Nothobranchius furzeri: one gene and its partner. The protein of the gene in region 2 purifies or fractionates together with the protein of the main gene of each other region. This does not show direct contact. Links are inferred from orthologs where the notes say so. Each region holds a gene or a part of one and is shown on either strand. Other genes may lie near its edges. The genes, in order: bop1 and wdr12.

What was found.
Region 1: the proteins of wdr12 (region 2) and bop1 purify together in Homo sapiens (affinity purification with western blotting; 6 studies listed by BioGRID and IntAct, with this or other methods). This does not show direct contact. The link is inferred for Nothobranchius furzeri from reciprocal best matches to the Homo sapiens genes WDR12 and BOP1.

Annotation. Positions count from the first base shown.
Region 1 is NC_091759.1:9,339,628-9,344,049, reverse strand, and holds the start of bop1 (ribosome biogenesis protein bop1), read right to left. Parts: upstream 3,117-4,422; 5' UTR 3,013-3,116; coding exon 2,950-3,012; intron 2,241-2,949; coding exon 2,007-2,240; intron 1,927-2,006; coding exon 1,834-1,926; intron 1,724-1,833; coding exon 1,569-1,723; intron 1,491-1,568; coding exon 1,373-1,490; intron 1,293-1,372; coding exon 1,191-1,292; intron 1,116-1,190; coding exon 903-1,115; intron 834-902; coding exon 672-833; intron 595-671; coding exon 514-594; intron 416-513; coding exon 346-415; intron 1-345. UniProt on the Homo sapiens protein: Component of the PeBoW complex, which is required for maturation of 28S and 5.8S ribosomal RNAs and formation of the 60S ribosome.
Region 2 is NC_091742.1:74,278,405-74,282,965, forward strand, and holds the start of wdr12 (ribosome biogenesis protein wdr12), read right to left. Parts: upstream 2,900-4,561; 5' UTR 2,774-2,899; coding exon 2,733-2,773; intron 2,432-2,732; coding exon 2,337-2,431; intron 1,700-2,336; coding exon 1,602-1,699; intron 1,512-1,601; coding exon 1,405-1,511; intron 1,334-1,404; coding exon 1,218-1,333; intron 1,145-1,217; coding exon 990-1,144; intron 915-989; coding exon 869-914; intron 1-868.

The DNA of each region.
Region 1 (4,422 bases), on a different chromosome or scaffold from region 2:
CCGTGCCCCCGCCTGCGCCCTATGGTCGTGAAAACAAGGTAGGCGAATTATATCTCAATAATGGAGCTTCAACAATCAGCTGAACCTAAATATTCAGTACAGCTGATGAGAGAACATCTGCAGGAGACCCCAGATGTTAATTCTTACTAACGAGGCCATGGTGATCTTTTAAATATTAAGTATTTAGTCACATAAACATAAATAAAAAGAAAAAGTCCTGGAAGGGAGCCGTCAAAAACATTTGATAGATTTGTATTTTCATTCATTTGTGAATCAACAGCTGTGATAAATATTCTCTCCTGGGATAAATTTAAATGACAACAGACAGGAGATGAGAGTTTTCACCTGAAGCGAGCCACTGTCCTGATGGAGACACACTAATGGAGCGAACCAGACTGCTGTGACCTCGATACACCTGAGCACAGGAAGATAAAAGGTACAGAGGCAACAGACGGCTAAGTTTGACTTCATCTGACCTTTAGGAGAGTTTTTATGCATCTGTGTTTATTCTACCAGGGACTGAGTTGTTGGAAACGGCTGCAGGTCCTTTGGTTTGGGAAGTTTAGGAATCAGATCTTCTGGATTCACATTTACCTGCAGGCAGACAGAAATTCAGTTCCGTCATAGCGTTACATCATCAGCCCCCCCCCCCCCCCCTAACGGGCCGTTACCCTCATCTTCCTCTGGCGGGGACACAGGTAAAGGTCGAGGCAGCGCTCAAACCTCTCATGGATGAACCGAGAAAATGCCGGAACCTGACGAAGACTCGAGTACTTGTTTGGAATAAATGGCAGCTTCCTGTCTGATGGGTCCTGCTGCTCCCATAGAGCTTTCTGTGGAGAGTGAGACGGGTTAGACCGAAGCAATCAAGCACCAACAAGAAGAGCAGCCGGCTGACAGACCTCCTCGTCCGTGAACAGGTACTCTGGTGGGGGGTTGTAGGACTCCTCGTGACCAGGTAGAGGGATTTTAGGAGCAGGAAGGTGCATCCTGTGTTTGGCTAGAATAGAAGAGTCCTCGCTGGCCCAGAGGTCATAGAAACGACCTTTACTGTCGTCTTCCACCCGCCGAGGTTTGATCCAGCCCATTTTGATAGCGTGCACCAGTTTAGAGACCTGTGGACAGGTGTGACAGACAGTTAAACATCAGGCAGGTGGAGGTGGGTGGACCTGATGAAGACATTCTTTTACCTTCTCCTTCTCTATCAGTGAAGGGATGAAGCTGCGTTTGTCTGCAGGTCTGTTTGTGACTGGATGAATCATGACCTCGTTACTGAAGAATTCCACCATAGGCTGGGGAAGAAAAAAAAAACCTGGTTTCACTGATTCTGCTGATATATTTACTGGCTTTCTCTTTAAACACCAAGTTTCACCTCATGTTCGTTGAAGTGAACGTCGCCAAACTGTCCTTTCTGCAGACGATTCACCAGCTCTATCTGCTCGTCTGAAAGCACGATGTCGCTCGCCGTCTTCTTATCGTGGACAGTTCTCCTGTAGACATTTTCATGTTCACGTTAGCATGCGGTGTTTAAATGTGTGGATTATGATGCATTATGTTAGCCTGGTCACCAATATTCAGGATTCTCCATTTTGTCCAAGAACTCGTCAAGCTCATCCTTGTTCCTGATTGGCTTAAAGATCTTCCTCCCATCCAGATCGTAGCCAATGTGAGGGAAGTCTTTGTACCACTCCATGGGAATGTTCCCCACAGTGTTCCTGATATCCTACAGAACAGTCACAACTGGTATGTTAGTACTTCTTTTAAACGGTAGAGAAATACTATTTTTACAATACTGCACAAAAAACAGACGTTTTAAAGATGATTTTGTCCCACCTCCTCATCTGAGCTGTCATGCTCGTACTCATTTTCTTTCTTTACGTCCTTTTCTTCAGTCTCTTCTTTCTTTTTGCTCTTTTTTACTGTTTTCTGCAGAGGCCAAAATACGAGAGACTAAATGTTGATCAGAGGGAAAACAAGCAGCAAGCCATCTGATTCGTGGGTCCTACCTTCTGACTCTGATCTTCTGCATTCTTATTTGATTCATCATTTTTATCATCATCATCGGCAGCAGAATCATTTTCATCATCATCCTCATCAGATCCCTCCTCCTCATCTTTATCCTCTTCTTCTTCAGAGTCACTCCCAGAATCCTCCAGTCCTGAATACACGCTGTCCACGCTGTCTGATAAATCATCATCATCCTCATCTTCCTTAAACGGTTTGTCGTTCAAGCTGAAGAGCTGAGGTAGAGTAAAACATGTCACACAAGACTCTTGTCTGTAGCCAAAAACCAATAAAATATACAAAACGGGAATTGTTGCTATTTATATATGTTATTCTGTTGGAGAAAGCAAAAAGGACAACATCACAGAGCTGACAATTATTACAGTGATCTAAATAAATCTAGGACAAAAAGGATTCTCAGGTCTGACATTGAACTGTCTGAGTAGGTAATTCTACACTAAAACACGTTACAATGTGATCAGTAGGATCATTTTCTGTTGATGTTTGCCCAGTACTAAAGTTTAAACAACTTCAAATATATTTGCTGTATTAGTTTTTGGATCTGTTAGCAAGAAATACGAAATAAATTAAATAATCTGGAGCAGGAAATATATAAATAAATAAAAAATCAAGGTTTAGCCCTCATCAGGTCAATCTTTACTTGAAACTAGCTGTCAACTCTCCATTCATTAAGTAGCAATTGAAAAAATAAATAAAAATAAACAGCATCTCTGTATTAGTAATGACTCTTTGACGGATAATTTGTCAAATGTTTGTCAGAGCATCGACTAGTTCTTTTCCTCAAATAATAACAACTAGAAACTGTCATGGGGTTACAAAGCTCTGCCAAGTGTTGCTAGGATGCCTTGCTAACAGCTAACAGGGAGCTGCTGACCAGTCCACTTCGTCCTCCTCTTCTTCGTGCTCGCTGACAGTGCGCCTCACCTGTTGTTCCTCCTCCTCTTCCTGAAGACTCCGCTTTTTGTCTGTTTTCTCCTTTTTCTTCATCTTTTTTAAGGTCGATTAGCTGCACGTTTTCGTCACTCTCCTCTACAAAACCACGTGGGAAACTTTCGGGGTCACAGGTTATGAGCGAGGAAACATGCGCGTTTGTTGCTAGCGCCCCCATGTGGTTGAATTTAAAAAGAGAGGGGGTGGGGCAGAGTAAAATGTTGTTGCACGTGATGGTGAAACGTGCAGCTCTGTGTCGCCCTCTCCGGGTGAAAATGTGTATTACGCAAATTCTGTGTAAAAATATGAAATGAAAAGGATAACTACCCATTTAAATTCTTAACATTGAATTAAAGGCAGGATATTAAGCCCACATCTGAAGAAAGTTCTCTCAATGTGGGGTTCTGTTTTGCCTTAGCCCCCGAAATGCCTTAAAACGGCCCTGGGTGTGTGACTGAGTTTTGAAGGTGATCTGAATTGTATCAGATGTATACATATTACATGTGTATAACTTATTGTTTTATACAGGTAAAAACATGTAGTGTAGATAAATCTACCTACATTTGACTTTTCAACACGTTGTTTTGTTTTCTTGTTTTTATGTGACTATTGTCCTGTCCTGTCTGTCTCTCATCGTCCTTCATCTCCTCTAAATTCTCCAGAAAAACTGCTGCCTGGATTCTTACTTTTTCACATCACAAGTTACTTTTGAACTAAGCAGATCAAAGGGATCTCCTGACCGCAAAGCGTAGTGCGCGTTTCGATGCTGCGTCAGTGAGGTGAAATCACCGCAGCACACGATGAGCGGAGCGCGCCAGGAACGATAAAAAAAAAAACAGAATACCAGAGGATATAAACAGATATGAATGATCATGTGTAAATAATAATGTTTTGTTGCGCCACCTTGAGCTCGACATTTACTTCAAATAGATAGAATACATTCTTCAAAGGCATTCATCTTAGTGATGTGTCGGTCGCAAACAAACCGGCTCTAAGAGCCGGCTCTTTGAAGTGAACGACGGGAGCCGACTCGTCATTGGGAACCGTCCCCTCCCCCCTCCCCCCTTGCTTTGGTGAAAGCTACAGGTGATTGGTCAACATGTGTAACTGCGTGTCCAGACTGTACACACACAGAGCAGTAGGGGCGGGGAAGAGGGAGGATCAGACTCAGATCATGTCGATGACTCAGACACACAGCAGAGCACATGCGGGTGGCGGGAGACGAGAGGAAATGAGGAGTAGGAAAAAGGAGAGCAAGAGAGGAGAGTGCGATGGAGACGGTGAGAAAATGAGCGCCAGCAGTCGGAAAGTGGAGATTTCTTAAAGTGTTCAGTTATTAAATCCATGGAAATGATGAATATTTGATATGTTGCATTTATTTATATTAGTAAATCATTTTACATAAAGTTTTGCATTATTTTGGTTATAAATGTACTCTACGCAACCAACAGAAAATCTGAGGAGCCA
Region 2 (4,561 bases):
ACAAAAATACTGCTTGCTTGCAAAGATTTAGGTATGTACTGCCCCCTATTGCCAGGGAAGGTACACACTGTCACTTTAATCACACAGCTCTAGCTGATGTTTCCAGCTTTACTCCTAAACTCTGTTTCACACATCATTTATAAACATCTGTTGTGCCACATAGTCCGGAAAAAAGAATTTAAAAAGAAAAATTGGGAGACATTGGAACAGATAAAGGAACTTTATGTTTGTCCTTCTTCCCCAGGACAGGGACAAAGATTCCCATCTGGATATTTCTCAAGATTAGCTAATAAAGGATCATAACTAGTCCCAAAAAGGTCTTTAAATGTATGCGTAATCCAAATAGTTAAATTTATCTGGGCCGATGTTAAATGGAATGGGGCCAGAGAGCTGCTGCTCCAAAAGAGTTAACCTCACAACTTGAGATCTGACCAAATGTCCCAAGAAGAGCCAACAGCTTGGAGATCCCAGAAAGAGGATTTGAAATATAAAAGCCTATCATCGGTATAAAGAGAGACTTAACAGTAGATCCCAGATGTGAGATGCTCCTGACACCTGGGCTCAACCTCGTGGCAACAGCCAAAGGCTCCACTGTAACTGGAGAGGTGACAGTGGGAAAACACCTTCTCAGCATCTAGGGAGAGTACTTCTTCATCAACCTTCTGGTCGGGCAGAGCAGGTGTGTACAGCACATTGTCTCAATATTTTGCTGCTGAATCATACCTGTCAACATTTATTACGATTATTTCACTTATTCCATGTCTCATTTTCCCTGCACTGTGTGATATTGTCTCTGGTACACAGGTGATATGTATTTTATAGCTGTAGGTAAGGTTTTCCAGCTTAAATGTTCTCATCGCTCACCCACCTGCAGACCAGATCTTCAACATTTTGTCCCAGGAGCCGCTGCAGAACTGCAAAAGGACACAAACAATCTCAGACACAAACCAAACTCATCTATGAACACTTTCTATTCCCTGAAGCTTTACTTTAGAGCCAGAGGGGTCTGTGGACACTGTGTCGACACTTCCTGTGTGTCCACGACAACAGTGGCGGGCTTTAACTTTGTTCCTCTCAGAGTTCCACTCCCACAGCAGGACAGTCTGGTCCAGAGAAGCCGTCAGGAGCAGAGACGTCAGGCCATCTGGGACATCCATAGAGTCCACATTAAAGTTAATAATAACAAAGAGGGACATCCAAGGTCCCAGTCTGCTCACCTCGTTTGACCCAGGCTATGTCTTTAACAACATCTGAGTGTCCAGCTACGGTCATCACCTGCTTCCCTTCCACAGACCAGATCCTGGCTGTCTTATCATAGGAACCCGTTAGAATCCTGTAGAACGAGACACAGGGACGAGTCACAGGACAGTTACAGAAAACCAGAAGGTCTGGTCTCCATCTTACCATTCTGAGTCTGCATCCACTGAGCTGATCCAGTCATCGTGCATCATGCACTCCTCAGGCTCAGGGGCTGTGATCCGCTCCACATACTCAATCTCCACCACGTCCTCCTAAAACACACAACCATACACGCAGATGAAGCTCAGATGTCAGACTCATACTGACAGCTTTGGTCTCTGTGGCAGGTGATGAGGTCGTACCGTAGATACACCCTCTGCCTCCATGTGAGACGACAGTGGCGTTCGCAGGAACTGACCTTTGACCAGGAAGTCAAACTCCACCTTGCTGTGAGATTCTGCTAAATAAATAAATAAATAAACAACTGAAGTAAAAAATAAAACAAGAATGATAACCGTTTATAAATCATATTATGTGTAATAGTTTAAACTCCAAACTAAGCTGTTATGAGTAGTTTTTTTTTTTTTTACAGTCGACATTTTATGTAGTTTAGCAACATGTTACTTGTGTTTATGGTGTGTATTAGGGGGTAACGTGCTAGTGGTGTGTTATGGTGTCTACCATGTTAAAGATGTATTATAGTCCCCTCAGTCATCATCACACACCGGTGAAATTACATCTCCACATGTGACCCAGCCCTGTGGGGAGCGGCGAGCTGCAGCAGTGGTTGTGCTCGGGAACTATTTGGTGCGTTAACCCTCCAATCCAACCCTTTAAAGCTGAGTATCAAGCAGGGAGGCACTGGGTCACATTTGTTTGTCTTTAGTGTGGCCCAACAAGGATTTGAAAACTGATCTGCCAGTCCCAGGGCAGACATTCTACCATTAGGCCACTGAGAAGGTATGGTGTGTGTACCCTCTCTATAGTGTGTTTTAGGGTGTGTGCACGACGTTTATAGTGTGTTATGGTGTGTGCCATTTCTATAGTGTGTATGAGGCTGTGTGTACTATGTTTATTGTGTGTGTTATGGTGTGTACCATGTTTGGTCTCCAGCAGCTTGTTGATCAGGTTACTGAGGTCCTGCACTTCAGAGGCAGCTGGGATGGAGAACGGGACATCATCTACAACAAACCTGCAAACAAATCAAGGCCCAACAAAACGTTAACCCAACCAGGAGACAGGTTGACCTTTATCAACGATTAAACCCAAACTTCATATTATTAACATTAAAGGAGCTAAAACACACTAAAAGCCCTCTAATCGGTTGCTCACGAGGCCAGTAGGAAGTTGAAAACGTTACGCACATTGATAAGAAGCTCAAACTCAGAAAATTAAACCCTGAATACAAATTTAACACACGTTTAGAGAAAATAGATGCTAACTATTTAGCTAGCCTGTCCGCTTTTACCGCACTACCCCAGAATTAAACTCACCTTTTGTCCTCCGTAAAAAACCTCGCCTGTAACTGAGACATTCCTACTGTCTGCGAGTTTTCTGAGCAGATTAAAAGTAAAGAAAATCAGCTAATATCTGTAGATCTGTAACAACATCCAAGTCAGGACACTGTGGCCATGTGGTGTAGAGGAAGGCTAAAAAAGTCAAACACAGATACAGTCGGTGCCGGGTTCTCTGGATCAGTGCGCATCTAGTACTGCCTGGCTGTTTGTTCACAATAAACTAAAGATTCAGTATTTTCTACGTTTCTATGACGCATGATTCCTTCATAAAGTATTTCTGGAAAACCGAACTCAAAGCTCTATTAAGTTGGGAAAAACAGGTCTGCAAACCTCTTAAAGGCCCCATGTGTGAAATCCATTGAAATCACGATGAAAAAACGCGACCTGCAAAACCTTTAGATCATTTTTGTTAGTTTGTATATTTACGCGGTTTATTATAAATTTATGTGAACTGTCATTGTTTTTTAGACTCTAGATTAAAGAATAAGCCTTGATTCTACTCTTTATTTTTATTTTAAAAAAATTTGCTGCTTATTGTAGAAGAAATTTATATTCAGCCTCATTTAACAAAAATATGATATAGCTACTGTAAAATACGTAGATCTATTAAGCACGGATATTTACTTATGGAGTTCTCTAGTACAGTATCTATTAATAAGTTATTTAAATACCCAGTTTAGGTTCTAGCTTCAGTTTTACTTAAGAACCAACTAAACTGATGTTTGCAACATAAATTTGCTGCACATGACCTGTTAGACTTCCATTCCACAGGTAGGACCATATTTGGTCACATCAGGCAATTTCTCTTAAAAAAAATAATTAGAACAGATTTATTTAATGAATTTAGATTAAAGGTGAATGCCACAAGGTGGTCACTGTGGAGGGCGACAGAGGTAAAAACACTGGTCAGGGGAAACTGGAGCTGGAGAAGGGAAGTGCAGGATATGAGATGCTCTGTGAAGAGTTGGGTACTCTAGAATTTATTGAAGATAGACTGGGAAGCCCCTGCTCTGGTGGCACTCCATGGATCATTCTTCCATCCTGGAACAACTCAGGAGGGGTCAACATGGTCAACACTACTTTAATGAGTGGAGTGAGTGTGAGGCATGAAGTCAGTTTAAAAGTAATGGATTAGATTTATAAAGCGCTTTCCATAATTCACATTTCTGGTGATGGTGAGCTGCTGCCGCCCTGGGGTGGTGCCATCTGCCCTCCTGCCACCAAGACAGGCAAGTCGGGTGAGGCGTCCTGCCCAAGGACACAACAGCAGAGTACCCCGGCGAAGCTGGGGTCGATGCCACAATCCTCCGATCGCTGGGAAACCCGCTCTGCTGCCCCAATATGATGCTTAATGTTTTGCCTGCCTTTAAACTTGTGTTAGATTACAGGTTTGTCATTTTAAATAATACTTACACAAGTTGAAACAGGGGTGGTTCTGGGGGGCACTTGGCCCTCTCTTGCTGAAGGCATTATAAAGTAAAAAGTGACGATTACACCTAATGCGGAACCAACGCTTGTGAATTTATTTATATATAGTAGAAAAGAGCAGTGATGGAGTGTAATTAAGTAAAAGTATTGCCCTGAAGTATTTTTCTTTGAGGCATTGAGCTCCGGAAACCACAAACAATTGTATTAAATATACTCAGGCTACAGTAAAAAAAACTAAAACAAGTCATTTAGGAGCACAGCAGGTTTCACTTCTTCACATTATTCTTTAAATTCAAACCTAAACATTTGGACCCACCTAAAAAACTGAAGGAACTCCTGTTAGTTCCCAGTCTGCTTGAGCCCTGGTTAAAAGGTGA